Macaca fascicularis: one gene and its partners. The protein of the gene in region 3 purifies or fractionates together with the protein of the main gene of each other region. This does not show direct contact. Links are inferred from orthologs where the notes say so. Each region holds a gene or a part of one and is shown on either strand. Other genes may lie near its edges. The genes, in order: USP1, USP12 and PHLPP2.

The links.
Region 1: the proteins of PHLPP2 (region 3) and USP1 purify together in Homo sapiens (affinity purification with mass spectrometry; 3 studies listed by BioGRID and IntAct, with this or other methods). This does not show direct contact. The link is inferred for Macaca fascicularis from reciprocal best matches to the Homo sapiens genes PHLPP2 and USP1.
Region 2: the proteins of PHLPP2 (region 3) and USP12 purify together in Homo sapiens (affinity purification with mass spectrometry; 3 studies listed by BioGRID and IntAct, with this or other methods). This does not show direct contact. The link is inferred for Macaca fascicularis from reciprocal best matches to the Homo sapiens genes PHLPP2 and USP12.

Annotation. Positions count from the first base shown.
Region 1 is NC_088375.1:172,258,314-172,268,749, forward strand, and holds part of USP1 (ubiquitin carboxyl-terminal hydrolase 1), read right to left. Parts: 5' UTR 10,214-10,436; intron 9,781-10,213; exon of another isoform or gene 9,374-9,780; intron 7,256-9,373; 5' UTR 7,190-7,255; coding exon 7,020-7,189; intron 5,322-7,019; coding exon 5,201-5,321; intron 4,646-5,200; coding exon 4,541-4,645; intron 3,684-4,540; coding exon 3,523-3,683; intron 2,111-3,522; coding exon 1,419-2,110; intron 1-1,418. UniProt on the Homo sapiens protein: Negative regulator of DNA damage repair which specifically deubiquitinates monoubiquitinated FANCD2. Also involved in PCNA-mediated translesion synthesis (TLS) by deubiquitinating monoubiquitinated PCNA.
Region 2 is NC_088391.1:7,174,504-7,185,480, forward strand, and holds the start of USP12 (ubiquitin carboxyl-terminal hydrolase 12), read right to left. Parts: upstream 6,998-10,977; 5' UTR 6,870-6,997; coding exon 6,768-6,869; intron 1-6,767. UniProt on the Homo sapiens protein: Deubiquitinating enzyme that plays various roles in the regulation of the immune response and inflammation.
Region 3 is NC_088394.1:68,689,796-68,700,231, reverse strand, and holds part of PHLPP2 (PH domain leucine-rich repeat-containing protein phosphatase 2), read right to left. Parts: intron 8,934-10,436; coding exon 8,779-8,933; intron 6,876-8,778; coding exon 6,729-6,875; intron 6,332-6,728; coding exon 6,101-6,331; intron 3,975-6,100; coding exon 3,772-3,974; intron 1-3,771. UniProt on the Homo sapiens protein: Protein phosphatase involved in regulation of Akt and PKC signaling.

The DNA of each region.
Region 1 (10,436 bases), on a different chromosome or scaffold from region 3:
CTTGGGAGGCTGAGGCAGGAGAATTGCTTGAACCCGGGAGGTGGAGGTTGCAGTGAGCCAAGATCATGCCATTGCACTCCAGCCTGGGCAACAAGAGCAAAACTCTGTCTCCAAAAAAACAAAACAACAACAACAAAGTCAGTTGTATTGTAACTCCCTTCCTAAAGACACCCTCCCCATAGAATAAACCCAGAATAAGAATGACATTTTCAGTAAAACTATTCACCATATCAGTATTACACATTTTCCTTGATATGTGTAGATCTGGACAAAACTTGGTAAAAATCTAGTTCAAGTATGGTGTAACTTGCAGTTATGCACCACCTACCAACGTTTCAATTATTTAACAATGGACCACATATTCCCATGATTTTTACTGTACCTATGTTTACATATCTATGCTTAGATACACAAATACCATTGTGCTACAGTTGCCTACAGCATTCAGTAGTTACATGCTGTACAGGTTTGTTGCCTAGGAGCAATAGGCAAAGCTTGCCTGCAGCCCATAACAAATTCATGAACTTTCTTAAAACATTATGAGACTTTTTTCTGATTTTTTTTTCTTTTTAGCTCATCAGCTATCATTAGTGTATTTTGTGTGTGGCCCAAGACACTTCTTCCATTGTGGCCCAAGGAAGCCAAAAGATTAGATACCCCTGGTCTATACCATATAGGCTAGTTGTATAGTATGCGCTAGCATCTAGTTATGTAAGTACACTGTGATATTCGCACAATTAAATTAACAGCACATTTCTCAGAACATATTCCTGTTGTCAAGCAACACATGACTGTACTTAGTCTGTACTTTAAAAATTTCACTAAATGCAACGTCCTTCTTCAGTTTATGTCAAACATTGCATAAAGGGAAATGTATTCTTAAATGTACATTAAAATATACTGAACTTCCCTACTTTATGTATTTTTTTGAGACAGAGTCTTGCTCTGTCACCCCAGGCTGGAGTGCAGTGGCACAATCTTGGCTCCACCTCCTGGGTTCAGGCAAGTCTCCTGCCTCAGCCTCCCGAGTAGCTGGGACTACAGGCGTGCGCTACCATGCCTGGCTACTTTTTGTATTTTTAGTAGAGATGGGGTTTCACCATGTTGACCAGGCTGGTCTTGAACTCCTGACCTCAGATGATCTGCCCGCCTCGGCCTCCCAAAGTGCTGGGATTACAGGTGCGAGTTAACATACCCAGCCAAACTTCCCTACTTTATAAGCTGTAAATTAAAATTACTTTAATGACATTACACACACACACACACACACACACACGTAATACTATACACACACACTAACCTAAGCATAGCACTTCAAACACCATAGTTCACATTCAGTGTTAAATTTCCTTCTCTTGAAACAATTTTAGTCAGAGATTATATGCTCCTACCTATCAAAGTCTAAGAATTATACTAACCTTTGTTTATGGGTTTAACTTCATTAACATTCACAGGTGTAACAGTATTTCCTGGAGATTCAAATCCACAAGCATGAGTTGTGTTATCATTTTCATACTTCCCCAAGTCCTCTTCAGGATCATATTCATTTTCTTTAGATTGTCCTTTGGCTCCTTGGTTTGTTGTTATTTTTCCCAGACTACAGAATTTAGAAAGAATGCTGGGTTGCTTAGTTGCAGACTTTAACCAATTTATTTTAACTCTTGATTTCTTTTGTGAGGGTCTTGGACTCTCATTTTCAGAAATACACTTGGGAATTATTTTAGGAGGAATCTCTAATGTATCACTTGTAGCTTTTCTTTTTGATCTAGTTTGTCTCTGGTTCTCTTCCAATGACTGGTGTTCCTTGGATACTTTAACTTTTTTCTTCATGTTACCAAATTCAGTGTCACTTTTTCTTTTCCCATTTCCTTTTGGGAGTTTTTCTTTACAGTCTTCAGAATGCCTCACACTGTCCATCTCCATGCTGTTAATACCACTCATTTCCTCTTTCTGATGAGGTATTTCTTCTACCTTAGTAGGTAATTCTGCCACATTTTTTACTTCTTCTTTTTTTAGGAGTTGGCATGTTTCTTGAATGTTTCCCAAAATACACTGTAATACTTCCTGTGCATCATGCTGTAGATAGCCTTCATACATAGGGTTGAGTTCCCTATAAATAAAAATTTCCATTTCATCTATTCTAGTTTTGAAGATACAGTACATAAAATCTATATAGAAATTAATTCATGTAAGGAAAATCATAAATTATTTCATTTTTTAAATCTCAAGACATTTATTCAGCACTAATTTGGAATTTCTTACCTGTAACTAAAAGAGTAACTTGTACCCTACTTTCATTATAATACCTTGATCCTCTTCTAAATATAATAACTAATACTTAGATAATGCTTACCATATACCAGGTTTTAGTCAAAATGTTTTTTTATCTATGTATACATTATCTTCACAATAACCCTATGAGGTACTATTATCCCCACTATTTACAGATATAGGTACTAAGGCACAGAGAGGTTAATTAACTTGCCCAAGATCACAGAACTACTTAGGATGAAAAGCCAGTATTCAAATCAGCACGCTCTTGGCCACCACGCTACAATAGCTTTTTTTTTTTTTTTTTGGACAAGAGTCTTGCTCTGTTGCCCAGGCTGGAGTGCAGTGGCACAATCTTGGCTCACTGCAACCTCTTCCTCCCGGGTTCAAGCGATTCTCCTGCCTCTGTCTCCTGAGTAGCTGGGACTACAGGTGCGAACTACCACGACCAGCTAATTTTTGTATTTTCAGTAGGGGCGGGGTTTCACCATGTTGGCCACACTGGTCTTGAACTCCTGACCTCAAATGACCCACATACCTTAGCCTCCCAAAGTGCTGGGATTACAAGTGTGGGCTGTGACTGGCCTACAATACCTCTTAATTAAGGTATAGCAATAAATTGCACCTAGTTCTATTTTTAAACTGAATGCTTAAGTGATTGTTTTAAAGACTTGCCCTATTAGTATAATTTTATTTGAATAAGGCTATTTTATATATTGTTTCATTTTTAAGAAAATACCAAAAAGCAATCTAATCCAGTTAGCCAACAGTTCTCTAATCCCATATAACAAAAATAGAATATTTAGAATTTACAGTTCTTACACATATTTTGAATATAGTCCTATAATTCCTAATGTGAAATCCTTAGGACCACACATTTAGAAATTCAGACATTTTCAGATGCAATGATAATATGGCATATAAGTAAAATATTTATCACCGACATGATATGGGAGTACTCTATAATTAAATACATTACTACTTCTATAGAAGAATGTATGAATATTCACATTAGAGATAAATATGAATGACTATAAAAAGCCTCATATAATATATTCAAATCTAACAAATTTAGCACCAAATATATGAAAAAAATTTCCAGTATTCAGAGCCTCTGAGATACAAAGGACTGTGGACCTATAGTTTCTACTTTCCTTGCCCTTTTATTCCTGTTTCTTCACATACCATTCTCCTCCAAGGATATAAACAAGTAGTTAAATTGAAACCCTAAAATTATATTATAGGCTATACCTGAGTGTGTTAAGCAGTCGCCTTGGCTGAGTGGCAAGTTCATCAGTATATTTCTCTGGATTTAAGAGAAAACTAGCTTGGAGCTGTTCAACCGAAATGATTAAGGACTGTAAACTGCATATCAATTCATAACTTGCCAAAGAATCTTCTTTGCAATTTCCCTGTCAAGAAAGAAACACACAAACCAATAATTTTATGAACAAATTAAGTACCTTCCCCCTTTGTCTGTGTCTCACTTAAGAATACTAGGTTTTCTAAGTTGCATTATAGCACTAATTTTAAAGGATATACAAATAAGCCTTATTTTTTATTTTTTTGAGACAGGGTCTCTGTCACCCAGGCTGGAATGCAGTGGCTTGATCGCAGCTCACTGGAGCCTCAACCTCCTGAGATCAAGCAATCCTCCACCTCAGCCTCCCAATTAGCTGGAACTACAAGCTCACACCACCACGCCCTACTAGTTTTCATATCTTTAGTAGAGACAGGGTTTTGCCATGTTACCCAGGCTGGTCTCAAAATCTTGCACTCAAGCGATCCATCACCCACCCTCACCTCCCAAACTGCTGGGATTAGAGGCATGAGCCACCACGCCTCGTCTTTTTTTGTAATTTTAAGAGGAATTTTTGAATTACTATTTATGTGACTTACAATGGTTTTTTAATTATGGAAGTCAAAGATTTCTTTAAATACTGTGTAGTTACTTAAATTTTAAGTCAATTTGAAAACACAATGGGTAAATAGGTTGTACATGGGTGTGACATATTGTGATTATAGTACACAATAATGTATAGTATACAAGTAACAAAAGTTTGATACACATATTACAGGAGCAAACAATCTGTAAAAGGGAATTATCTAGTTAGCTACCTTGAAAGAATGAAAAATAATTGCCTGACAATAGTTCGTTAACAGAGAAATAATCTTTGTCACCCACCCCCGCAGTCTCTTCATTTCCAGGCAAGTAAATTTCCATTAATTTACTTTTGCTTTTTACATTATTTTCTGTTACTGTTCTTACCTTGTCTTTTTGATTGGCTTCATCCTTTAGAGCTTCTTTCTTCCTTGAAATAACATTAAATAAGTGCTTTACTCCAGATTTAAAACCGGGACAAAAATATAATACCTATAAAAAGTGAGACTGTCTAAGTGTTCACTGAACAATATACGTAAAATCATTAAAACAACATCATGCTTTCTATAGGCCCTTTTAATGTGTAGTACCTAAAATTCTGAGATTAAGTTTTGTGTCAAAATTTGTTCTCCACTTCATCAGTAGTAGCCCAGTGTATTCCCTCACTGGCACAAAGCACTGAGTCTGGGCAGATATTGCTAAGACTTTAAGGTTACAAGAACACACAACACAAAGCCAACGTTATTTCCAAGGGATAAGATACGTATTACTGTAGCACCAGCAATCAGAGAAAGAAATTAAAGGTTTGAACTTCCACTTAAGGTCTACTCAATTTTGCTATCCCACCTTTATTTAGTCTATCACTTTCTCTTATCCCAAAGCAAGTTTAACAACATGCAACGTATTATTTTAGCCTGTTCTGGTTCATTTACAATCAAAGGCAAAGACAGTATGGACATTAAAGTCCTCCAATAACTCAGAAACATTAAATGTTACATTATTCTTTGCCTACTAAAGTTTTGTTATATAGCAAAACTGTCAATTTACCTGAAGTATACTATTAAGATAGCAAGTATTGCCGAGATTATTCAGTCCCACAAATGGTAACAAGTTTTCTCTCTTCTCACAGTTTATAGGTGAAGACTGTGCTGCAGGAACAACTTGATCACTATTAAATATAGAAGGGGGAAAAGATAATCAAGTAGTTATCTCAAAGAAACAAGGTGAAAATATTACTTCCATAGATTTAGTCTTTTCCCAAAAGTTGTATAATCTGAAAAGTATGTGAATCTTGTTCAGATGACATTTTAAGAAATACAGGCTCAAAAACTGCTATATGCCCAGAATGAAAGTTTTTAAAACATTATTACACATACCAAGCCACAGAACAATTCCCTTAAAAGGATGTTAATCCTATTTTACAGAGCAAAAAATTGAGGAACTGAGAGACTGTGATTTGTTTTACCTACTTTGACATTTTAATCAAGTAGTGTAACTGAACAGAAACCTGGGAATAAATTAACCATGGCAATATTTGGGAGAGGCTGAACTAAGAAAGATTATATTAATAAGAATTCAAGGAAAAGAAAGTCTATGAAGAAAATTATATGGCCGGGCGCGGTGGCTCAAGCCTGTAATCCCAGCACTTTGGGAGGCGGAGACGGGCGGATCACGAGGTCAGGAGATCGAGACCATCCTGGCTAACACGGTGAAACCCCGTCTCTACTAAAAAATACAAAAAACTAGCCGGGAGAGGTGGCGGACAGCTGTAGTCCCAGCTACCCGGGAGGCTGAGGCAGGAGAATGGGGTAAACTCGGGAGGCGGAGCTTGCAGTGAGCTGAGATCCGGCCACTGCACTCCAGCCTGGGCGACAGAGCAAGACTGTCTCAAAAAAAAAAAAAATTATTTAGCTATCTCTCACTTAAAAATAAAATGTTCAGAAGGTGAGTGTGGTGGCACTGAGATGTAATCCCAGCTACTTTAGAGGACTGCTTGAGCCCAGGAGTTCAAGACCAGCCTGGGCAACACAAGGAGACCCCGTCTCAAAAAATAAATACATTATTATTCTTTTACTTCTTTAACAACAAAAAAAAACCCACTAGGTCTTCCCAGTATTTTATTTTACAATTGCTAGCTATTATTACTCCAGCACCTCAAAGTATTTAGAAGTATGAATGCTGATAAACAAAAGGTTCACTCTCAAACAATCTCCTCAACTGGTTATTGATAGCTATTGGAAATTAACACATGGGACCAAATCCACCTTAGTCACCCAGCAGAGTGACTATATGTTAAACAGGGAAGCAGTACAGACTCCAGCTAGAGCTGCTGGTGGTGGAATAAAGTATTTCACTTTGTTCTGATTTATTTTCTGTAGCTAAAGAATTTATTTGCATCAAAAGCATTACTTATTTTTAAGTTTATTTCTATAATTTGCAATCGTATGCCTCCAACAGGTATGACTAGTCACATGACTACAGTTTAAAATGTCTTATAACCGTCAAGTCTTCTGAACCAAACAAATATATATACATATATATATAACCTTTTACCCCTACACAAATGTTTTGCACGACAAATAAATTTAAACTCAGAAAGACAATTTTAATCTATGAATATTTCTCCAAGTTAGTCTACATGGCTGAGCACAGTGTTCATGAGTTAAACATTATGGATGTGATCCCTATGGGGAACCACCAGTTTTGCTGTTCCTACTATAAACGGCTAGACTTGACTTATTAAGAAGTACACTGAAGTGTACTTTTTTGTGCCTCTATAGACTATCAAGTCAGAGTGGAGGTGTCAACCAAGTTCACTGCTGCTTCACTGTAGAATTTTTAAAGTACAGAAATGTAAGATACATACATTTCAGATGCTCTATATTCAGAAGCTTTTTCTTCATTTTCTTGAGAATCTGTGAAATCCAAAGCTCTCTTAGTTTCCTTTTTCTGAAAAAACTTTAAGGAAAGTCTGTTTTTCTTTGATGGGCTACCTCTTGAAAGTCCATTACTTTCACTAGGTATGACACCAGGCATTTTTTTCTCAAATCCCAAGGAGTTGTCAATAATTAATTTATAGAGGAAAGTTGTAATCAATTATATCTGTTAATCACAGAGAAAAAATTTCATTAGTTTTCGGTTATCAGTTTTAGGCAACAAAATCATCAATTTTGAAAACAAATTTACCAAGGGAATGGTACAAATTAGAAATTAATATTTGAAAACCTAATGCCTGCCAATAGGCACTCAATATTTATTGCTTAAATGAAAAAGCTTACCACACTATTCTTAAAGAACAAAAAATAGAAGCTACTGAATTTTTAAAATCAGTCTGCTATGGATTAAGGGTCGCATTACAAAATATCCTATTTAGCAGACCTACAGTAAAGTAGTGTAAGTAGTAAAAACTTAATATTTCATTATAATAATTCATTCAGAAAAATTGAGCACTATCACCTCTAATTCTCAAGTACATGGAAAGGATGAATGGAAAATCAAAGTAGTGCTGGACGATAATGAGTCCTCTCTTCCAATGCCTTTTCTAGTTATTAACATGAATACATGAAAATAAAGTACCTAAAAAGTTTATTAAAGTATAATTTGCATTCAAGGCATAGAGATGGTGTTAAGATATACCTAAAACCGTAAAGTTTTATTATCTTTCAATAATAAAACACATGCAAAGTTGAGACAGTGATACAAAACACTGTTGGATGCACTTTGTGTAAATCCAATTCTTAATGAGCCAGAAATCACAATACTCGTTTTCCAAACTTTTTTTAAAACTTAGGATTCCAAAAATAGTGCTTTGAGTAGGAAAAAAGATGATTTGGTTTGCCATTTGCAACTTTCCCACCCTGTTTTAAAGCAAAACTTTCACAGGAAAAAATATGGCAACATTTGTAGGAGTTACTAATATTTTCTACATCAGTCCTATTTTTCAGGACATGTGAGGAAAAATTATCTAACTAGAGTATTACCATAATAAAATTACTTAAAGCCCAAAACTTCAGCAACGAGTTTCAAATTTAAAATGCAGAGTAATAAAATGAACTACACAAAACTCACTCAAATTCCATCCTTAATAAGCATTTCACGTGGCTGACACTGATCTAGGAATTCACACTAAACTCAGCACTGAAACCATTTTTAAGACCCAAGTCAGGAAGAACTGGAAAAGCTGATCAATCTCCCCATTCTGTCTCCAACTTCACTTACTCTCCTATCCACCTAATGCTTCACCTAATGCTTCTGAGGAAGCGCTGTCTTCTAAATGACAAACTAACCTACGCTAAGTTCTCAGGGATCGCCAAGCATTAATGATTCTGATAAAATGTTTTTCTCGAGAGCCAATTCTAATGGATGACAGAAACTGGATCTCAAACCGACAGAGTAACCAGACTTCACAGGAGGGAAGAATGATTAGGCAGGTGAAATAGCGGATCGTCAGCTTAATCAACAAACCAAACCTCCTAGTCCCTCAAAGCAATGTTCACACCGAGAATGTAACATTTTGCCAGGTGCAGTATCTTCCGTGCTATTATTTCTTGCTCCTGGCTTTCCTTATAACTGGGGGGGGCTGTTACATGCAAAATATTTCTCCTGTAACTAAGTCAACTTTCGCAGAAAGCACGACGAAACGACCATTATCTGTTGACAGCGTGAATACTCAGTCCCAACAGTTTTAAATTCTTTTTGAGATGACACGACTCGATTCCGATTTTTCAAGAAAAATATACAAGGACATCTTCGCCAAGGTTTAAGACGCGGCGTTCTAAACACTTCTGGAAAAAGTGTAAGTGAAAGAAAATGCGCGGTAAAATTTCGCAATTACTGACCGATCCAGGGCAACCTGCGTGGAAACGTTTCTTTCTCCCCAACCTTCACCGCTCTCGGGAACGGAAAGGAAGCTGGAAGAACCAGCAGCGACTAGGCTGCCGGGCCGGGGGAGGCTGGCGGCGGCGTTCTCGGCCCACACCCCCGCGCCGGGCGCCCTCGCCGCGGAGTTGGCCTATTTACGCCCAGCCCGCACCTGCCTTCTCGCGTCCCGGCGGCGGCAAGACAGGCGCCCCGCCCGAGGCACACAAGGCTCCCGCTGGCAGCTCGACCAGGGTGCGAGGCCAACACGGTCCCGGGGGTCTCCCCGGCAGCTCCTCTCCCGCGCCGGCCGAACTTGCCCCCGCGCCGGGGCGCCGGCCCCTCCTCCCAGGCCCTCCTTACCTGGTCATGGCCCAAAGCGAGGTCCGCGGCAGTGACGCCGGCAAGTCCAACCCGAATGAGTGTGGGTGCGACAGGTGAGTCCCTGTTCCGAGTCCGCCGGGTCCCCCCGGCCCCAGGAAAATCTGGTCGGATCACCCTCCCCGCGGGGGAGTGACCATCCGCTCCCAAGAGCGGGAACCCCGACCGCCGCTCGGTCCCGCCTTGCACCGGCACCAACTACATCCCCGGAGCGGCGCCTATCCGCGCCCGCCCCGGGATAGCCAGGAGCGCAACAAGCAGCAGCCCCGCTCGCCGAGCGCCTGAACCGCTAGGGTCTTTCGCACTCCGCCACCGAGGGGAACTTGGCGCGTTTTCCTCAGTCTCAGGACCCCCGTGTTTTAGCCTCCGCCCGCGCCAGCGCTGCGATTGAACGTGGCGTCCTTTGAAATTGCCGGTTCCAGTCTCCACGCTGCAGAGACGCGAAAGGCAGGAGCCGTCTCGCGACGGTCACTCGCCCCCGGCACGCACGGGCTCCAGAGCCAGCTGGGACTGTAGCTCCCCAAGAGCCTAACGGGTTCCACAGTTTCAAACAGCGCAGGCAGAGAGCCGGGCAGCTCGTGCGGGTCCTCGCTAAGGGCGCGCGCGAGGTGCTAGCGGCCTGGCTGGCGGGCTCGAGCCTCACACCCTTTTTTTAACCATTCGTGCGCGCGAGTTGAGGGAAACGCGTACGGGTCGGGAGACGGGACAGAGAGCAGACGGGACGGGCCACCGCCTAGAGAAGGAGCCCAAATTCACCAATCCATGATGAACAATCCCCAAAACCGCGCCTCCCACCGCCCGGGGGAAACCAATCAGAAGTACCTAGACCAAAGCCAATTAGAAGGGCGGGAGCAGCAAGTCCCTCTAATAGCAAAAAAGAAGAAAGGTGGGCTCCAGCCAATCATTGTTCGACATACGGAGTGTTCCTCAGGCACGGCGCCCCTCCTTCCGCTCTCATTGGCGCTCGAGTGCGCGCTTTCGCTGCCGACTGTTGAAATCTTGTTTGGCGTTTTGTTAATCCTCGACGGTGGGACGCCGCGGAGGG
Region 2 (10,977 bases), on a different chromosome or scaffold from region 3:
AGCCACTGCCTTTTTAAAGAGCTAGCGTTGCACAATTTTACATGTAGAATAATACCCAATCTAAGCGAAACACAACTCAGGAAAGGAATGCATATCGCCATTTTATTTTAGTTTGTTTCCAATTTAGTTATAAATGTCTTATATGAGAATGCTTGTAATATAGTAATAAATTATCAGCTGAGATATAACAATTATGGATTAATCTAAACATTCTAGCTAACAAAGTTGACACATTATAACTGAGGTGTCCACAGTTTTTTAAAAAATACTTAACTGAAAAATATAGGCATTTAGCATAAACTAGAATTTAAGAATACATGTCATTTAAAAAAGAAAAAAAAGTGTATGTCATAAGCACAAAAACATCAACAAATAAAACACTTGATAATAAAATGCTGAAAGTCAAGACAAAAAGACATAGCAAGAAAACAGGATGCATCACTTACAAGGGAAACTCCAGTTAAGACAAAAAGCTGACTTCTAAGTAGAAACCCTGGTAGCTATGAGTCAGTGGGATAACGTATTCAAAGCGCTCGAAGAAAGGAAACAAAAAAAACTGTCAACCAAGAATGCTGTATCTGCCAATGCTTCCATCTAAATGTGAAATAAAGACTTTCCCATAAGGGCATGGTGGTTCACACCTGTAATCCCAGCACTCTGGGAGGCTGAGGACAGAGGGTCACTGGAGCCCAGTAGTTCAAGACCAGCTTAGGCAACACACGGGGACACCATCTCTACAAAAAAATTTAAAAATTAGCCAGGCGTGGTGGTGTGCACCTGTAGTCCCAAGCTGCTCAGGAGACTGAGGTGGGAGAATCACTTGGGCCCAAGAGGCTGAGGTTGCAGTGAGCCATGATCGCACCACTGCACTCGGCAACAGAGCGAGACCTATCTCAAAAAAAAAAAAAAAAAAGACTTTTCTAAAACAAAAACATAACAGAAGTTGTTGCTATGCTAGCAGACATACCTTACAAAAAATACTAAAGAAAGCTGTTCAGGCTAGAAGCAAGTGTTCTCAAACAGTAAGTCAAGTCCACATGAAAAAACATACAAGAGTACCTGTAACAGCAACTGTTATTATAAAGGACGCTGTAAATGTGGGTTTTTTTCTTTCTTCTCTTGATTTAAAAAGCAACTGTATAAAACTATATATATATTATGGGCCAGGCGTGGTGACTCATGCCTGTAATGCCAGCACTTTGGGAGGCCGAGGTGGGCAGTTCACGAGGTCAGGAGTTCGAGACCAGCCTGATCAACACAGTAAAACCCTGTCTCTACTAAAAATACAAAACCTAGCCAGGCGTGGTGGCAGGCGCCTGTAATTCCAGCTACTCAGCGGCTGACGCAGGAGAATTGCTTGAACCCAGGAGGCGCAGGTTGCAGTGAGCCAAGATAGCACCACTGCACTCCAGCCTGGGTGACAGAGTGAGACCCCATCTCTAAATAAATAAATAAATAAACAATAAATTTATATATATATATTATAAATAGTAACAGCACAGAAGAGGTAGGCTGAAATGGGCTAACATAAAATATCAATTGAATAAAAAAACCAGAATCACAGAATCATTTTAATACAAACACACACACACACACACACACACACACACACACACACACACAAATCAAGTGACAAAATCCAACACCTTGTCATGATAAAACACTCAACATGACAGAAATAGAAAAGAATTCCTCTCTGAATACAGTAAAAATTGTATTTACGGGCAGAATACAATGGTTCATGTCTGTAATCCCAATGCTTTGGGACGCTGAGGAGGGCAGATCAATTGAGCTCAGGAGTTCAAGACCAGCCTGGGCAACATGACAAGACCCCATCTCCACCAAAAATACAAAATATTAGCCAGGCGTGGTGGCACACGCCTGTAGTCCCAGCTACTCAGGGGACTGAAATGGAAGAATCGCTTTCACCCGGAAGGCAGGGGTTGCGGTAAGACAAAATCACAGCACTGCACTTCACCTGGGCAACAGAGCAATACCCTCTTAACAAAAGAAAAGGTTAACTGACGGAATTAAGAAAATAAAAGAGGAAAGGAGCTCCTCAATCTGACAAAAGGTATCTATAAAAAATTCACAGCTAATATCTTACTTAACAGTGAAAACACTGGATGCTTTTCCCCTAAGATTAGGAAAAAGACAAGAAAATTCCCTCTTGTTAATTTCTATTCAATACTGTACCATAGGTTCTAGCCAGAGCAGTTGGAAAAACAGGCAACCAAATTTGAAAGGAAGAAGTAAACCTATCTTTATTTGTATGTAACATGATCTCATATACAGAAAACCCTAAAGAATCCACTAAAAAATTACTACTAGAATAAATGAGTTCAGCAAGGTTGCAGGTTCTAAAATTAATACACAGCAATCAATTGTATTGATCTCATAAAACTATGGAGTAGAATAGTGGTTACTAGAGTAGAGGCTGGAGATGTGGGGGGTGGGAGGAGTAGCCAAGGGTTGGTTAATGAATACAAAATTACAGCTGGATAGGAGGAGTAAGTTCTAGTGTTCCACAGCAACAGTCCCCAATCTTTCTGGCATGAGGAACCAGTTTTGTGGAAGACAATTTTTCCATGGACTAGCGGGGGATGGTTTCAGGAGGAACCTGTTCTCAGATCATCAGGCATTAGATTATCATAAGGAGTGTGCAACCTAGATCTCTCGCATGCGCGGTTCATAACAGGGTTCACAATCCTGACAATCTAATGCCACTGCTGATCTGACAGGAGGCGAAGCTCAGGCAGTAATGCTGCTCACTGGACACTCACCTTCTGATGCATAGCCCCATTCCTAACAGGCCACTGATCAGGGGCTGGAGATCCCTGTTCTATAGCACTGCAGGGTGACCATAATTAACAACAATTTATTGTATATTTTCAGATAGATAGAGGAGCAGATTTTGAATATTCCCAGCACAAAGAAATGATCAATGTTTGAAGTGATGGATATGCTAATTTCCCAATTTGATCATTACACATTGTATACATGTATCAAAATATCACACTATATCCCACAAATATGTACAATTATGTCAATTTAAAATAATAAAAGCAAAAAATTAACTGCATTTATATAAGGTTATCCTGAAAATCTGAAAATGAAAATAAGACAACTCCATTCACAATAGCATTCAAAATGATTTAAATAAGTAGGAATCAATTTAACAAAAAAAGAGAAAGACATATAAAAGAGAAAAACATTTCAGAGTTTCAAAACTCTGAAAACTACAAAATATTACTAAAAGAAATTATAGGAAATTTAAACAACAGAAAAAAAATACCATGTTCACAGACTGGAAGACTTTAACACTTAAAATGGCAATACTCCACAAACTGATCTACAGGCTCAGTGAGATCCCCATCAGAATCCCAGCTACTTTTATGGAAACTGACAAGCTGATTCTAAATTCATATGGAGGTCGGACCCAGTGGCTCACCTGTGTAATGATCACTTAAGTCCAGGAGTACGAGATGCAATGAGCTATGATTGCAATCATGACAGTGTGGTACTGGCAGAGAGGCAAACATACAAATCAATGAAATAAAATTGAGGATCCAGAAACTCATACATCTATGGTCAAATGATTTTCAACAAGGGTGCCAACTCCAAACGACAGAGAAAGAATAGTCTTTTTAACAACTGGCGCTGGGACAAATGGACAGTCACATACAAAAGAATGAAGTTACCTTTACCTCAAACCATGTACAAAAAACTAACTCCAAATAGATCAAAGAAGTATATGAACAGCAACACCCAGAAAACTCTTAAAAGAAAAACATTGGATTTGGCAAAGGATTGACATGGGATTTGGCAAAGGATTATAAAATATGAATATGACACCGAAAGCATGAACAACAAAAGAAAAAACTCAGGCCAGACGTTGTGGCTCACACCTGTAATCCCAGCTCTTTGGGAGGTCGAGGTGGGCAGATCATTTGAGGCCAAGAGTTCAAGACCACCCTGGACAACATGGCGAAACCCCATCTCTACTAAAAATACAAAAAAATCAGCTGGACATGGTGGCACGCAACTGTAATCCCAGCTACTCGGGAGTCTGAGGCACAACTGTTTGAACACAGGAAGTGGAGGTGGCCGTGAGCCAATATCCAGTGACACAGTAAGACTCTGCCTCCAAAAAAAAAAGGAAAAGAGAAAAAAAAATTAGATAAATTAGACTTCATCAAAATCAAAATTAAATTTTGTGCTTCAAATGGCACCCTCAAGAAAATGAAAAGACAACCCATAGAATGGGAGGAAATATTAGCAAATGACATAACTAACAAGAAACTTGTATCCAGAATATATAACGAACTCTTACACCAAGGCCAGGCAGGGTGGCTAATGCCTGTAATTCCAGTGCTTTGGGAGGACTAGGCAAGAGGATCCCAAGGGCCAGGAGTTCAAGACCAGCCTGGGCAAAACATAGCAAGAACCCATCTCTACGAAAAGTAAAAAATTAGCCAGGTATAGGGGTATGCACCTGTACTCCTAGCTACTCCGGAAGCTGAGGTGGGAGGATGACTTGAGAACTGGAGTGGCAAGGGATGATCATGTCACTACACTCCAGCCTGAGTAACACAGCAAGATCCTGTCTTGAAAAAACAAAAACAAAACAACAACAAAAAAAACTCTTACAACAATTAAAAGACAACTCAAAGAACAGCCAAAGAATGCAAATAGATATTTTTCCACAGAAGATACACAAATCGCCAATAAGTACATAAAGAGGTGCTCAACATCATTATTCATCAGGGAAATGCAAATCAAAACCACAATGAGATGAGATACCACCTCACACCCAAAATGGAATGGCTACAATCAGAAAGTCAGATAACAAGTACCAATGGGGATGCAGAGAAATGGGAACAGCCATACACTGTTGGCAGGAACATAAAATGGTGCATCTTTGGAAAACAATCTGGCAGATCCTCAAAAGATTAAATGGCAATTCCACTCCAAAGTACAGACACATGGGAAAACAAAACATATGTGCATAAAAAGCTTGCACCCCCAATGTTTACATTAGTATTATTCAAAATAGCCATAAGGTAGAAATGGCCAAAATGTCCATTAATGAACAAATAAACAAATGTAGTATATCCACACAATGGAACAGTATTTGTCCATTAAAAGCCATGATGAGGATGTCATCGAGCCTGTAGATCAGTTTGTGGAGTATTACCATTTTAAGTGTTAAAGTCTTCCAGTCTGTGAACATGGTATTTTTTTTCTGTGTTTAGATTTCCTTTAATTTCTTTTAGCAATATTTTGTAGTTTTCAGAGTTTTTACTAATACATATCACAACATAAACGAACCTTGAAAACAGTGCCAAAAACCATATACTCTATGATTCCATATACTAAAGTCCAAAGCAGAAAATTATATAAACACATAAAGTCAATCAGTGGTTGGTTTGCCTAGGGCTGGAAGGGGGAGGGAAAGAAAAGGAGGAGGAGAGAGATGATAGCTAAAGGGTATAAAGTATCTTTCAGGTGATTAAAACTGACTGTGGTGATAAATGCAAAACTCTATCAATATACTAAAAGCCACTAAATTGTACACTTTAAATGGATGACTAGTATGGTATGTGAATTATATCTCAATAAAGCTGTTTTATGAAAAAAGAGTTTGTGCCAGGTGCGGCGGCTCACGCCTGTATTCCCAGCACTTTGGGAGGCTGAGGCAGGCGGATCGCCAGGTTAGGAGACTGAGACCATCCTGGCTAACACGGTGAAACCCCGTCTCTACTAAAAATACAAAAAATTGGCCAGGGCATGGTGGCGGTCGCCTGTAGTCCCAGCTACTCAGGAGGCTGAGGCAGGAGAATAGTGTGAACCCAGGAGGCAGAGCTTACAATGAGCCAAGATCACACCACTGCACTCCAGCCTGGGTGACAGAGCAAGACTCCGTCTCAACTTGGAGTCTCTTTTGATGAATTGTTTATATCTGACATTTAAAGCTCAGTGTCCTGGCCAGGCGTGGTGGCTCACACCTATAATGCCAGCACTCTGAGAGGCTGAGGCAGGCTGATCACCTGAGGTCAGGAGTTCGAGACTAGCCTGGCCAACATGGTGAAACCCTCTTTCTACTAAAAAATACAAAAATTAGCCAGGTGTGGTGGCAGGCACCTGTAATCTCAGCTACTTGGGAGGCTGAGGCAGGAGCGTCACCCGAACCCAGGAGGCAGAGGTTGCAGTGAGCCAAGATCATGCCACTGCACCCCAGCCTGGGCAACAGAATGAGACTCTGTCTCAGAAAAAAATAAGTAAATAAATAAAGCTTAAGGTCCAAAACTCAAATTCACTTTTAACATCTTCAATATAAATTTTGTTTTTAAGATAAAACATATATACATATGCATACAAAAACATAGTAATGAAATAGAAATATTTTCCAGTTTCAAGTACTATGAAATCTAGTAACAATAAACTCCAAAAATGGGAATGGCAAGAGTGGATATGTCACTTCTGTAACAATAAAAAGCTGTGCTATAATCCATTAATCGGTACATTAGAGTTACAGATCCTGCTAGTACTTGAGAATGAAATGTTCAACCTTTCCCCTTCCACAAATCACCCTCATGGAGCTCATACACCCACTTTTCTGATACTGTTCTGTTGGATGTGCATGTAAGGCTCATTTCCCCAAAAAGACGTATCTTCCTTAAGAGTAAGAATCACTCATACTTAATAGTTAACCCAGCACAGCCCATACACCAATATTCACTCATTATTCTTTTCTGTCTCCTTACCATGTCTCTTTTCTTAGCCTCTCTTGCTCTGTTGGTTTTCTTCAGACTTACAAGCAAAATGAGAAAAACGAAGTCCCTAGAAGTCCAGGTTCTATGTTTCATCCTATTTCTCGTAAGTTTACTGAGGTATCAAATCTAATTATGGCAGTCGTTTAATAAACTTCAAAACAAAAATATTTTGAGATCTGGCAATCCTCAAATTAGAGCTTCTTCTGATACTATCTTTAACCATTAAAAATCTATTTCACTCTACTAAAATTCTACTAATATCACCCACAGAAATTTCCACATCTTTCCACTTTGCCTAAGAAAATGTCACAGTTGCCCTTTTCTGCCCTTTCTTTCTTAGGAAGCACACAGCCTAAGGCCTTCTCTCCAAACCTCCAAGATTATCTTTTAATGAAGCCCAACCATCATTTAAATTACTATACTGTAAATATAAAAGGTTCTGATCTAATCTTAAAATCCTAAAATACATTTTACATATGCTCTGTTGAGCAAGGCCATGTAGTACAGCTTTTATTCATTTCATCCATTTTCATAACCTCTCATGCTACCAAGCCTATATTTACTCATCAAAAGTTGTAAAAGTATTGGTAGCTAATTTTCCTGAATGTTCCACTGCATCTTTACTTTTCTCCTGCTGAGATTGGTAGTGTGCTAACAGTACCTGAAGTAAAAATTCTTTTACTTCCAAAACTAGAACAGATAACCACCTCTTAATGTTCACTTAGTACAAAAGGTATATGTTTACAAACCCACTCAACTTCTTCCCAATCTTTCACCACAACCCAAAATGCATTAAAGGCATATCTCGAATTGATTTTCACCTCTAATATATTTTTTAAAGCTAAAAAAAATGTGCATATTGTGGTAGTAGAAAAATAACTGCCTCCCTCAAAACGTCCACATCCTAATCCCCAGAACCTGTGAATTCAAGTTGCAGAAGGAATTAAGGTTGCTAAAATCAAACGACCTTGAGAGATTATCCCAGATTACCCAGGTCAGCCCTATGTAATCACACGGGTCTTGTAAGTGAAAGAGGGAAGCAGGACAGTCCCTGTCTGAGGGAGGTAATGAAAGAAAGACTGGCCAGTCATGGCTGGCTTTGAAGATGCTGCAGGGGCCAGGATCCAAAAGGCAAGGGCCGCGTCCAGGTGGCAAAGGCAAAGCAGCAGTCCCTCCTGCAGCTCCAGGAAAGAACACAGTCCAGCCAAGACCTTGGTCTCAGCCCAGCCAGACCCACACAACCTTTTTTTTTTCTTTTAAACAGAGTCTCGCTCTGTCGCCCAGGCTGGAGTGCAATGGCGCAATCATGGCTCATTGCAACCTCCACCTCCCAGGTTCAAGCAATTCTCCTGCCTCAGGCTCCCAAGTACCTGGGACAATAGGCACAGGCCACCATGCCCAGCTAATTCTCTGTATTTTTAGTAGAGATGGGGTTTCACCATGTTGGCCAGGATGCCCTCGATCTTCTGACCTTGTGATCCACCCGCCTCGGCCTCCCAAAGTGCTGGGACTACAGGCGTGAGCCACTGCGTCCGGCAACCTCCACAACTTTAGAATAATAAATTTGTGTGATTTTAAGCCACTAAACTTATGGTGATATGTTACAGCCTCATTGGAAACTAATGCACACACAAATTGGTCCATTTTAAACATTATAAATAGAAAAACAAATAGAAATAAATGCACTCTAATATCCCTAAAATCTGAAAATTAAAGTAACTGTATCTGGTTAGTTCATCTAATTTTCAGAATCCTGTGCTTAAGAATTTGAAGTTGCTTTTTTTAAAGCATAGCAGCAGTAAATATATAACCCTGAGGTGGAACATATTAAAAAATGGAAAACAAAAGAAAAACTACTTAGTTAAGTTTTAGTGTATAATCAGCTAAATCTTATTAATTATAGTTCAGATGCAAAAATGTGTTAGAACTTCATGTACTCATTCACTTGTAATATCACAAAATTAAGTCTAGGTGTGGAAAAGGTTCAACTTAATCTGTAAACTTTAGCCTGCCTAAATGTATGATTTTGGGAATACAACTATGAAAATATTCTGAAAATGTAAAAAGTTTATTTCTGTGTAGCTTCAAATACAACAAAGAATAGATGTACATTCTCTTTCAATGTTTTTAAAAATATTTCTTAAAAAAACCTATAGAAGCAGTTAAAACTATATTCTGAAGCCCTAATGAAACACTGGATCTACGCAATGATTATCAACAGTTGCTAAAAATCATTAGGTAAAAAGCTGCCAGCAGCTCCATAACAGAAGAGTCGTTCTGACAATGCCAGCCTCATCATTATAAAGAGACACCACATTCCCCTGCAACCCGGAAGTACACATCACCTATGTTTTTCCACCACCACTTGTACACCAACTTCTGCAAGGAAAATAAAAAATAAAAAAAATAAAAGATCAAGGAATCTGGATCAGGCCTCTTGATCTACCAAATTACAGAAAACATACAGGATGGAAGAACACGTTAAACATCACAAAGGGGATGCAATCAGCAAAGTGCAGAAAATGAAAAAAAGCTATGGGACAATCTGATTTCCTCAAAAGATAAACTGTAATAAAAAAGAAAGAGGGATCCACATTTAAGAGATATAGTGACAAAACATAACGAACATTATGGATCCAACCACGATCATTTGAGACAATCAGCTAATTTCAACAATGATTGGATATTTATGAGTATTAAGAAAGAGAGAGGCTGGGGGCAGTGGCTCATGCCTGTAATCCCAGCACTCTGGGAAACCACGACGGGCGGATCACCTGAGGTCAGAAGTTTGAGACTAGCCTGGCCAACGTGGCAAAACCCCGTCTCTACTAAAAAAATACAAAAATTGGCCAGGCATGGTGGCAGGCGCCTGTAATCCCAGCTACTCGGGAGGCTACGGCAGGGAGAACTGCTTGAACCTGGGAGGTGGAGGCTGCAGTGAGCCAAGATCACGCCACTGCACTCCAGCCTGGGTGACAGAACAAAATTCCGTCTCAAAAAAAAAGAAAAAAAAGAGAGAGAGAGAGACAGAAAATGATTTTGTGGTTGTCTTTAGGGGGAAGAAGCATCTACAGCTACATTAGTAACAGCATGATCCGGCGGCAAAAGCACTAAACTAAATATGGAGAGGTCTCAGGCAGAATCCTAAAATCAAGTCACCGGAGTCTGTTCATTTCCTTAGCTGTAAAACAGACTACTCCTCCCTACAGGCCCACCTCATAGATTTTACAGTTTTTGTTTGGAAAAAATGAACTAATAATAACAAAGTAATCTGAAATGTAAATACTGACATTGGTGAGGTTTCTTCACAGCAGGTATGTTACAAAAAATATTCTGTGTAACAGTTATTTTCGCTAAAGTAATCATGTTTTCTTGGTTTTTTTTTTTTCCAATAAATTTTCTTTTTCTTTTTTCTTTTTTTTTTTTGAGACAGTCTCATTCTGTCGCCCAGGCTTTTTCAATAAATTTTCTAGAAAACCACTTCTGATCCCTTTTTGCTTGACAAGTTTTAGAGACATTAAGCTACAAAACAGAACGCTGTAGTTGAAATGGACCTAAGATCATACAGAGGTATACCTAATCCCGTCATTATATAGAGGTGTACATAATTCCCCATCATTACTTTGGGAAAAAGAAAAGTGGATGTTCTAGGTACGATCTCTCCCACTTTCCTTTACCTGCTGCATCAGAAGTGCTTTTCATTAGCTCATTTTTAGCAAAAATGAGTTCTGTAAGCTACAAATGTGATTTTTAACAACATATACATGCCTTTTTTAAAAAAAAACTACCACAAGTTTATAGGAGATTTTTGCCTAAATCTATATAAACCTAATCAACTTAACAAGTTTGAGGACAAAATTCCTGAAACATTAAACCATGTAAGTAATTTTAATCACTTAACCTTATTTCTTTCTTTCTTGTTGTTTTAATTCACTTCTCGCTTCCTTGCCAGGTCCTCTGTCCTCTTCATTTTTCTCCAAGTTACCTTTCAAATTCCACGAAGCTTCCCTCCCCACCACTCCCAAAAGCCTTCCTTCTCCAGCTGATCCAGGCCTCACTCCAAATACCAGTCTGTCTTCCCTGTACACATCAAAATACAGCTTATCAAGTTTGTATCAGCCTACATTATTATACACAAAGTTGGTCACCCCAACTAGACGGCCAGCCCTTTGGAACTTAAACAGTTTTGCATCTCTAGTGT
Region 3 (10,436 bases):
AATTACTTTTGCCTGTCTACATAAATATATGCAAGCAGTAGGTATAATTACTTCTGTCTATCTACATAAATATATGCACACAGTATGTATAATTTACTTCTCTGGCTTCATTCACTCCACAGTATGTTTACAGGATTTGTTTATACAGTTGCATATAATTATAGTTCATTCATTCTCATACCTGTATAAAATTATTTTATGTGAATATGCCACAATTTATTTGCCCATTTTAGAGTTGATGGACATGTAAGTCTTTTCCAGTTTGCAGTTACTATGAATAGTACTTCTATGAAAATATTTGTCCATGTCTTTTGTGAACTAATATAAGTCCTTATTTTGAGCACAAGCCTAGAAGAGGCACTGCTAGGTAGAGGGTATGTTTCTGTTCACCTTAGGAGATACTACTGAACAGTATTCCAAAGTGGTTATACCAATTTACACTCCAACAGCTGCCCCTGGGATTTTTAGTCCATTCTAGTCATTCTGGTAGGTGTGTAGTGGTGCCACATAGGGGTTTCAATTTGCATATCCCTGATGACTAGTCAAGTTCAGTGCTTTCCCTATATTAACTGATCACATTTAGATAATTTCTTTCTGTAAAGCAGAGTTCTTGACTTTGAGGCATCAAAACTGCAAGTTTTTATGTATTTAAGTATTTAAATACTATTAAAATACTTAATTTATTTGTCAATACTTAAATATTTACAAAGAGTAAATATTTGGGACTGCATGCCTGTTGATGAGGTCTTTTCCAGTAAGGCCAGGAATTCAGACTCTTTTTTTTCTTTTTTTTTTTTTTTTTTGAGACGGAAACTCACTCTGTTGCCTGGGCTGGAGTGCAGTGGCTGGATCTCAGCTCACTGCAAGCTCCGCCTCCCGGGTTTACGCTGCCTCAGCCTCCGGAGTAGCTGGGACTACAGGCGACCGCCTAGTTTTTTGTATTTTTTTAGTAGAGACGGGGTTTCACCATGTTAGCCAGGATGGTCTCGATCTCCTGACCTCGTGATCTGCCCGTCTCAGCCTCCCAAAGTGCTGGGATTACAGGCTTGAGCCACCGCGCCCGGCCTGGAATTCAGACTCTTTAGACACATTAAGGATAGGGATGGGCCTGATAACAAAAATCTCCACGGCTAGGACTTACTACAATGTCAGGCATCTATAAACAGCATAAGTCAACACTCACCAGTTTTAACACTCTTCTGACCAAGCAATTAATCTAAGCTATAATTTGAAGCTTCTATAACATAATAAAAGGCAATGCAAATAGAAGTCCTCAACTTTTATCTGTATAATCTAGTTTACAGATATAGAAAAATAAAGAGAATAAAATAATGAACCCTCTTTCACCTATCATATAGCTTTTAACAAATCTACATTCTGCTTTATATGCTGTAGACCTTTTTTTTTTTTCTTTTTTGAGACTGAGCTTTGCTCTTGTTGCCCAGGCTGGAGTGCAGTGGTGCAATCTTGGCTCACTGCAACCTCCACCTCCCAGGTTCAAGCAGTTCTCCTGCCTCAGCCTCCCAAGTAGCTGGTATTACAGGCACGCGCCATCACGCCTGGCTAATCTTTTCTATTTTTAGTAGAGACAGGGTTTCACCATGTTAGCCAGGCTGGTCTTGAACTCCTGATCCACCAGGTGATCCGTCCACCTCGGCCTCCCAAAGTGCTGGGATTACAGGCGTGAGCCACCGTGCCCAGCCCAGACTTTTTTTTTTTAAATAATTAAAATACCACACATACCAAGAGGTAAACATCATCCTGAATATGGTTTTCATCACTCTTATGTATTCTTTCATACTAATGGCATACTTTTAGCTAAGAAAACAGTATTTCTGTGTTTTAAATTTTGATATAACTATCACAACATACATTTAATTATGTACTTTTCCTTGCTCAAAAAAAAGTTTGCAATTTATCCATATTACCATACAAGGCTTTAGTACATTCATTTCCATTGCTGTGCAATATTCTATTGCATAAATATATCACTACTGATTTACCCATTTTCCTATTAAAAATCCTACTTTTAGGCCAGGTGCAATGGCTCACGCCTGTAATCCCAACCCTTTGGGAGGCTGAGGTGGGCAGCTAACTGGAGGTTAAGAGTTCAAGAACAGCATGGCCAATATGGTGAAACCGTGTCTCTACTAAAAACATAAGAATTAGACGGGCATGGTGGCACACTCCTGTAATCCCAGCTACTCAGGAGGCTAAGAGAAGAGAATCACGTGAAACTGGGCGGCAGAGGTTGCAGTGAGCCAAGATCAGGCAACTGCACTCCAGCCTGGGCAACAGAGCTAGACTCCATCTCAAAATTCTACTTTTTCGTGCTCACAAAAAGTGATAAACAATCTGGTATATATCTCCTTTGCACATGTGAGTGTCTCTGGGATATATCCCAAGCAGGGAACTTCTAGAATATGGTATGTGTGGGTCTCGACATCTCTAACACTGTCACGTTGCTTTCTGGGGTGGTTTTACCAGTCACCTCTCACTGGCAGTGTGTGAGTGCTCAGAAAGATGCTTCTCCTCACCTCCGGAAACACTCAGAATTACCTTTTTTTAAAAAAATTTGATGAGTATAAAACGTTATTTAAATTTGCACTTTTTCTGACAGTAAAATTTAACCTATTTTCCTTTCCTTCCTTAAACACATACTGAAAGTAAAGAATGGTAAAGAACTTTCCATAAAAAGAATGGCCTCAACAAATATGAGGACCTTTTCATTGAAAAATATTCTTAGGGCAAATCACTATTGAAATCAGGGGCTTCTCATTCTAGCACTGAGGCTACACAAGCTTTTAAATCACGAATTGGCAAACTTGTTCTGTAAAAGGCTGAACAGTAAACATTTTAGGCTTTGTGGACCATATGACAGTCTCTCTTACTACTATTCAACTCTGCCGCTGTAGCACAAGAGCAAGAATGTATAAATAATATGCAAACAAACCACTGTGGCTGCATTCCAGTAAAACTTCATTTAGAAACATAGAAACTTGAATTTCATAGTAATTTTCACATGTCACAAAATTATTCTTCTTTCTTTTTTTGAGATGGGGTCTCACAAGTCTCACCCAGTTCTCTAATGAGAACACACATGGCATGCATGATCTCAGCTCACTGTAACATCTGCCTTCCAGGTTCAAGTGATCCTCCCACCCCAGCCTCCCGAGTAGCTAGGAGCATAGGTATGCCACCATGCTGGCTAATTTTTGTATTTTTTGCAGAGATGGGGTTTCGCCATGTTGCCCAGGCTAATCTCAAACTCATGAGTTCAGGTGATCAGCCCACCTCGGCCTCCCAAAGTGCTGGGATTACAGGCGTGAGCCCCCATGCTCAGTCACAAAATTCTCCTTTTGACTTTTTTTTTAACCCAGCCATTAGAAAAATGTAAAAACCATTCCTTATGGGCCATACAAAAAGAGGTGGCAGGCCAGATGCAGTCCTGGGGTATAGTTTGCCAACCCGTTTTAGACCATTATTGATGCTCTGTTTTGAACATGCTTGCCCACCTCCCCACCACCACTACTCTGTGGAATGCCTCTTATTATGCTCAATTAGTAAAGCTCAAAGTAACCTGCCATGTCTTTTTATGCACACTGCAACCACTTAAGTATTGACAGCAAAGTGAAAAGATAAAGTTTTGCCTCAATGAGCCACAAACCCCATCCTGCAGAGTGGCTGAGGAACACCACAGATGCCACTGTTCTTAAAAAGCACTGACAACAGCTGAAAGAGAAAAAACAAAAGGCTGGATAGAAAACTCACTGTTGGAACTGGCATAGAGGGTCCGAAGGGAGAAGCCACTGAGTGTTAGCTCCCTCAGCTGGTTCCGCTCACAATGCAGCTGTTCCAAGCTGCATAAGGAGCTAAGATCCAAGTCAGTCAGTCGGTTGTCCCGCAGATCCACGTGGGTGATGTGTTTATTTCCCTCCAGATTTTCAATAACCATGGTTTTCAAATGGTTCATCCTTAATATGCAGAAACAAGAAAATAATCAGAAACAAGAGTCTATTAAATGTGCTTACCAGAATAAAAAATAGGACAGGCATGATCCCTTTCTCCGTTTCCTTTTCTTTTTGTTTTGAGATGGAGTTTCGCTGTGTTGCCCAGGTTGGAGTGCGATGGCGTGATCTTGGTTCACTGCAACCTCCGCCTCCCGGGTTCAAGTGATTCTCCTGCCTCAGCCACCCAAGTTGCTGGGATTAGAGGCACCCCCACCATGCCCAGCTAATTTTTTGTATTTTTAGTAGGGATGGGGTTTTACCATGTTGGCCAGGCTTGAACTCCTACCCTCAGATGATCTGCCCACCTCGGCCTCCCAAAATGCTGGGATTACAGGTGTCAGCCACCGTGCCCAGCTCCCTTTCTCTGTTTCCTAAACAATTTAAGAATTTCACTACTTGCCTCATTTTGCAAGATACTATATAAATAACTACAGTTGATGAATAACTCAAGGTACAGCTAAGTCAGACAATCCAGATTGGCAAATACATATACAAACTAATAAAGAGAAGGAAAAAAGAGGCCATATCCTGAACAAGTTAAACACTTATATCCAAACACCTAATAAGGTCAGGTGGGCACTAAGTAGGACAAAGGAACAGGAAGATGAACACAACCTTTTGAGTGAGACAGTAGCAAAACAGTCACAACAGTACCATGTCCAGAGTATAAGGATAGAACCATACTTCCTCCTATTGCTATGCCTGCTCTATCTCTAGTGCTAAGGTTCACATAAAATTAATTAACAGACAAGGAAATAATCTGTGTATGTATATATACATATACACACACACATATATACACACACACACACATATACCGAAGAGTTCAAAGGTAAATTATACAAAATGACCTCTGAGTTCTTTTCTGTACAAGTATATGATTTAATTTATGCAGGTCTGTTCTCACTTTCCTGTATTTCTATAAATCTCTCAAGTCTCCAGTGTGGTTAAAAAAACAAAAACAAAAACTCTCTGTTACTGTCTTTACAAGGTCATCAATGGTTTACTGTAAATTACAGAACACCCAATAGGTGTCTTTTTACCAGCTTCAATTAGGAAAAGGTTATGACTAGAAAATAAAACCCTCATAAAAGGTTCTTAGTAATGAAACCTTTAACATTTTAATTGTAATACAATGGATATCAAGAAGAAACCTAATGACTCAACAGAAAAATGTCATTTATGGAAATCTACAAACTACTAACATACATATAAAAAGATGTTCAACCTCACTGCTCTGTAAATAAATGTTGATTAAAACAATGAAATACTTGTTTCAATCTACTAGACTGATGATAAAGAAAAAGAAATGCTAAAATCCAACACTGACAAAGATATGAGAAAATGGGAATTCTCCTACAATGTTGGAGGGGTTGGGCACAGTGGCTTACACCTGTAATCCCAACACTTTAGGAGGCCAAGGCAGGAGGATTACTTGAGCCAGGGAGTTCAAGACCAGCTTGGGCAACACAGTGAGACTCCATCTCTACAAAAAATTTAAAAAATAAAAAATATACATTGATGGGAAGGTGAGCAAAAACAACCTCTGTCCAAGGCAATTTGATAGTCTCTATCACATGGTACAACTACATGATCCTGAATCTCTCTGCTACTGAATGATAACTAAAGTCTTACTATACCTTTGAAAATACACATTTCTATACTGTTCAAAACACCTAATGTTACGGGCCAGGCATGGCAGCTCACACCTGTAATCCCAGCACTTTGGGAGGCTGAGGTGGGTGGACTGCTCGAGTCCAGGAATTTGAGACCAGCCTGCACAACATGGTGAAACCCTGTCTCTACTAAAAATAGAAAAAAAATTAGCCAGGCCTAGTGGTGCGCACCTGAAGTCCCAACTACTTGGAAGGCTGAGGTGGGAGAATCGCCTGAGAACAGGAGGTCAAGACTGCAGTGGGCTGAGATCGTGCCACTGTATTCTAGCCTGAGTGACAAAGTGAGACCTTGTCTCAAAACAACGACAACAAAATTTTAAAAACCCTAATGTCTTAAACAAATCTTCATAAAGAGAAGACATAAAGGTCCAACAGAGTCAATTTAAAGGAAGCTGCGGTAAAGAATAACCTTACCTTAAATCCACATGCTTGATATGGTTCATCCTATTCAGCACCCCTAAGTTCAGGACTTCCAGGCAATTTCCTGCCATAACCACTTTATCTAACATAGTGAGTTTCTCATAAACCTCAGGAATTTGACTAAAGTTGTTGAACGAAATTCCCAAAGAGGAAAGCTGTTGTAGATTTCCCAGTTCTTCAGGTAAAGTAGTCAGAAAGTTGCCATCAAGACAGAGGGTTTGAAGACTACAGGAAGAAAACAAAACAAGTCTACTTTATGGAAGGTTTCACTGGAATGCATAGAATCAGAGTTACGGATTCTGATTTATGTCACTAATTATCAATCCAAAAATAGTAGTGTCCTAACTCTCCATCTATACAGACTTAATAGATGACTTACACATAACTTACACAAATGGTCACCCCAACATTAAAAGAGTTAAGACCTCTGCTGTTGAAGCTGAGGGATCAGTCCCTGCTACAGGCAGGTAGATCTATGATGTCAAAAACTGCTGCTGACTAGAATCCTAGTAAGTACATGATTTATTTCACTGCAAGAGCTCACAGTACTACCTTCATTCCAAACCCCAGGCAAGTTCCTTATCCTGCAAGGGAAAAGATGAATCTAGTAAAAGTTACTTACTTTAGCAGATTGCCAATTTGACTTGGTAGGTCACGAAATCCATTACAGGAAAGGTTGAGCTCAGTCAGGGTAGAGATCTCACATAATAATATAGGAAACAACCCAAGTTTATTATGGGACAAGTTCAGGCCCTTCAGCTGAGAAAATCTAAAGAGCAAAGGCAAAAATGGATACTGCATTTCAATACATCTATTACTATATCTTTACGAGGGACATCAATGGCCTTTGATAATCCATTTTAAATGTCTATAATAGAATTTATTCCAAAAATACTTATTGAGCACTCGCTACACATCAAACATTGAGTGGGGACAGAGGACACCAAGATGACTAATGCACAGTCCATGTGATGAAGGAAACCAGGTCTAGCATTACAGCTCTCTTTTCTCTTTAAAAAGGTAGACAATCTTGAAGAACAGCTCATGCTGGTATAATTCTTTTGTATTTCATCATACTTGATATGCTTGAAATTTTTCATTAAATTTCTACATGTAATACACAAAAGCCTTGCAAGAATTAATCAACTCATAGAGCAACAGCTAACAAATATGTAGATCAAATCCCATTTTTAATAAGCAACTTCTTTTTTCATACTGAAATTATGTTGGCTCAAATGTCACATAAAATGAATAAACCAGTTAGAGCTTGAAAATAATGAATGTGACAGCATTTTACCATTATGTGACCTGATACACAAAATAGTAACTTTTAGAGCTTCTATTTTGTTCATGGAAGTAGAAGTATCTGTATTGTCTTACCCAGAGATGGCATTGTTATAAAATGGATCTCTTGGGTTTCTTCTTGATATCCATTGTATTATAATTAAGATGTTAAAGGTTTCATTAGTAAGAACTTTTTATGAGAGACTCTGGTAATTCCACTAGGGAGTAGGATGTTTTGTTATTATACAAGTGCAAGATGGTAAGGCTGAGATGTTCTCCATGATGATGATCAAGCACTTGCTTCTACATAAGAATCACCTGCTTCTAGATACCTCACTCTAATGCTTCTCTTTGTCAAATTTTCAACTTGTGATTTTCAGATGACCTAACCGTGACTGCTAATTATTCCTTTGGCTTGGTGCTTTAAATTCAGAATTTATGATCCAGCCCTCAAACTGGACTACTTCTTTTTCATAGCAACTCACAAAGAAATGCTAGAAACCAACTTCCTTAAAATTACTGCTTGTTTTCATTTTTACAAGCCAATATTATTAAAATAACTACCTCATTACTAAGTAGAGGCTTACACTTGAAAAACTTTCTAAAACAATTATCAGATGAGATAACAAAACACAATATTTTCTGGATATTACTCTAGAATTATTAGCTATTAAGGAAGGATGTAAAATATGTAATTTTAATGTATATTATCTTTTTAGTCACCATCTAATTTAAATCACTTTGAATGCTTTAATTTCCTATTTCTACCTTCTCCTCCAGAAGCCCAGACAATTACTTACAACACATATTTATTCACTGCGTCCATTTTTAAGTGGAGGAGTGAGGTGGGATGAGTGGAGGGTGGGAATGGGGTATATATTTTAATAAAGGAGATGGAATAACAAGTAGGTCATAGTACTGTAGGGCTAAAATGGTTCCCGTATTAGAAGAGAGAAGCATCACAGCTGACTAAAGGCTTAAGAGTTGGCAGTGGAAGGTACAAAGGGAAGATACAGCTTTATCTCTCAGAGTGAAATTCTTATAATTAGGCCTATCTCCTTTACGTTATTTAAATTTTATACTTCTAATTCAAAAATTTCCCATATACGAAATCTCTTGATGTAACTTGGAGGCAGATCACGCATCAGTGTCAATGATTTACATGAAAAGATCACCCAGATCAACAGAAGCTCACAGAACATTTACATCAATCTTCTGTTTTATGGGGGAAAAGGGCAGGTAGGAGAACTCCATGAATAAAAATTTTTACTTCCTCTTGAAAAGGGAGGGGAAATTTTAGAATATACATCCAATGGCAGCAGGTAGAAGTCATAAGATACTGATTATGAGTTGGTTTTAACAGGTCTGGAAACCCATTCTCCACATACTTGTAGAGTGTGTCGAGGCCTCCGGGTCTTTCTAACTGCATGAAGTTGTGTCGCAAGTTGAGGTAGGTAATATCTTGACTATAGAAGAGATGCTCAGGAACCTCCTCGAGGCTGTAACACGAGAGATCCACGGTACTGATTCGCTGAGACACCACCTGAATAACGTCAAAGAGAAGAGCTTTCTGAGCTAGTACTGGATGTCTATCACCCAGCAAAGAATGGAATGGCATTTACACAAAAAGACACTAATTAAAAAGACAGGAAAAAATAAAAAGGCAATAAGATCCAATTATTCATTTATAAATACCAGTTAATTTTTACTTTTTCCTAAAACCATAAGCTACTTGAAAAACAAGGGTACAAGTTAAAAGTCTCCATAAGTACAAGGTAAAAAAAGAAAAACACGTATCATTAAAGATGGAAAGTTAACACTTCATGCAGGAAGTAATCTTCTTGTTTGTTTGTTTGTTTGTTTGAGATACGAGTCTTGCTCTGTCAGCCAGGCTGGAGTACAGTGGCATGATCTCGGCTTACTGCATCCTCCATCTCCTGGGCTCAAGCAATTCTCCTGCCTCAGCCTCCCAAGTAGCGGTGATTACAGGCATGTGCCACCAGGCCAGGCTAATTTTTTTATTTTTAGTAGAGACGGTTTCACCATGTTGGCCAGGCTGGTCTCGAACTCCTGACCTCAGTTAATCCACCCACTTCGGCCTCCCAAGGTGCTGGGATTATAGGCCTGATTCACAGCGCTCAGCTGCAAGGAGTTATCTTAAAATGATTCGAAATAACTGGACAAAACTTTAAGAGGCAGTGTGATATGAAAAGACATGGCCTTTTGTAGCCACACTAGCTCTGCTACTTATCAGAGGTTTCTTCAACTGCTTTGAGGATAAAAGTAAATAACCAAGCACATAGCACACTGCTAAACACGCAAAAGACACTAAAAAAAATTAACTTCTCTTTAAAAGGGCAGAAGAATAGAATAGCTACTTAAAACTGGGACCAGTTTTATTCAGAGCAGATTTTATAGCCAACACAATATAACTATAAAATAATAAAATCAAAACAAGCTTCGTAGTTCTATAACAGTATGCCAATATAATATGGGTTATAAAAATTGATCTAAAAAAAGAAACAATATATCACTAGAAAAGTCATTCATGGCTGGGCGTGGTGGCTCACACCATAATCCCAGCACTTTGGGAGGCCAAGGTGGGCAGATCATGTGAGGTCAGGAGTTCGAGACCAGCCTGGTCAACATGGTGAAACTCTGTCTCTACTAAAAATACAAAGATTAGCTGGGCGTGATGGTACACACCTGTAATCCCAGCTACTCCAGAGGCTGAGGCAGGAGACCTGCTTGAACGCGAGAAACAAAGGTTGCAGTGAGCCAAGACTGCACCACTGTATTGCAGCCTGGGTGACAGTAAGACTCCATCTCCAAAAAAAAAAGAGAAGTCATTCATGTTTTGATGGTATGTCCTTATACTATAACAATCTCTTATACAAAATCCTGCAAAGACAGCTAGAAGAAAAAGAGAATTTGGAAATCACAATACACTTTATTGCTCTTTAAAGGCTAAAGAGCAGAAATGATGTTGAAGTTGAAAGACTAATTATCCTTGGCATATAGGAATAATGGTTTGTGACGGCATTAG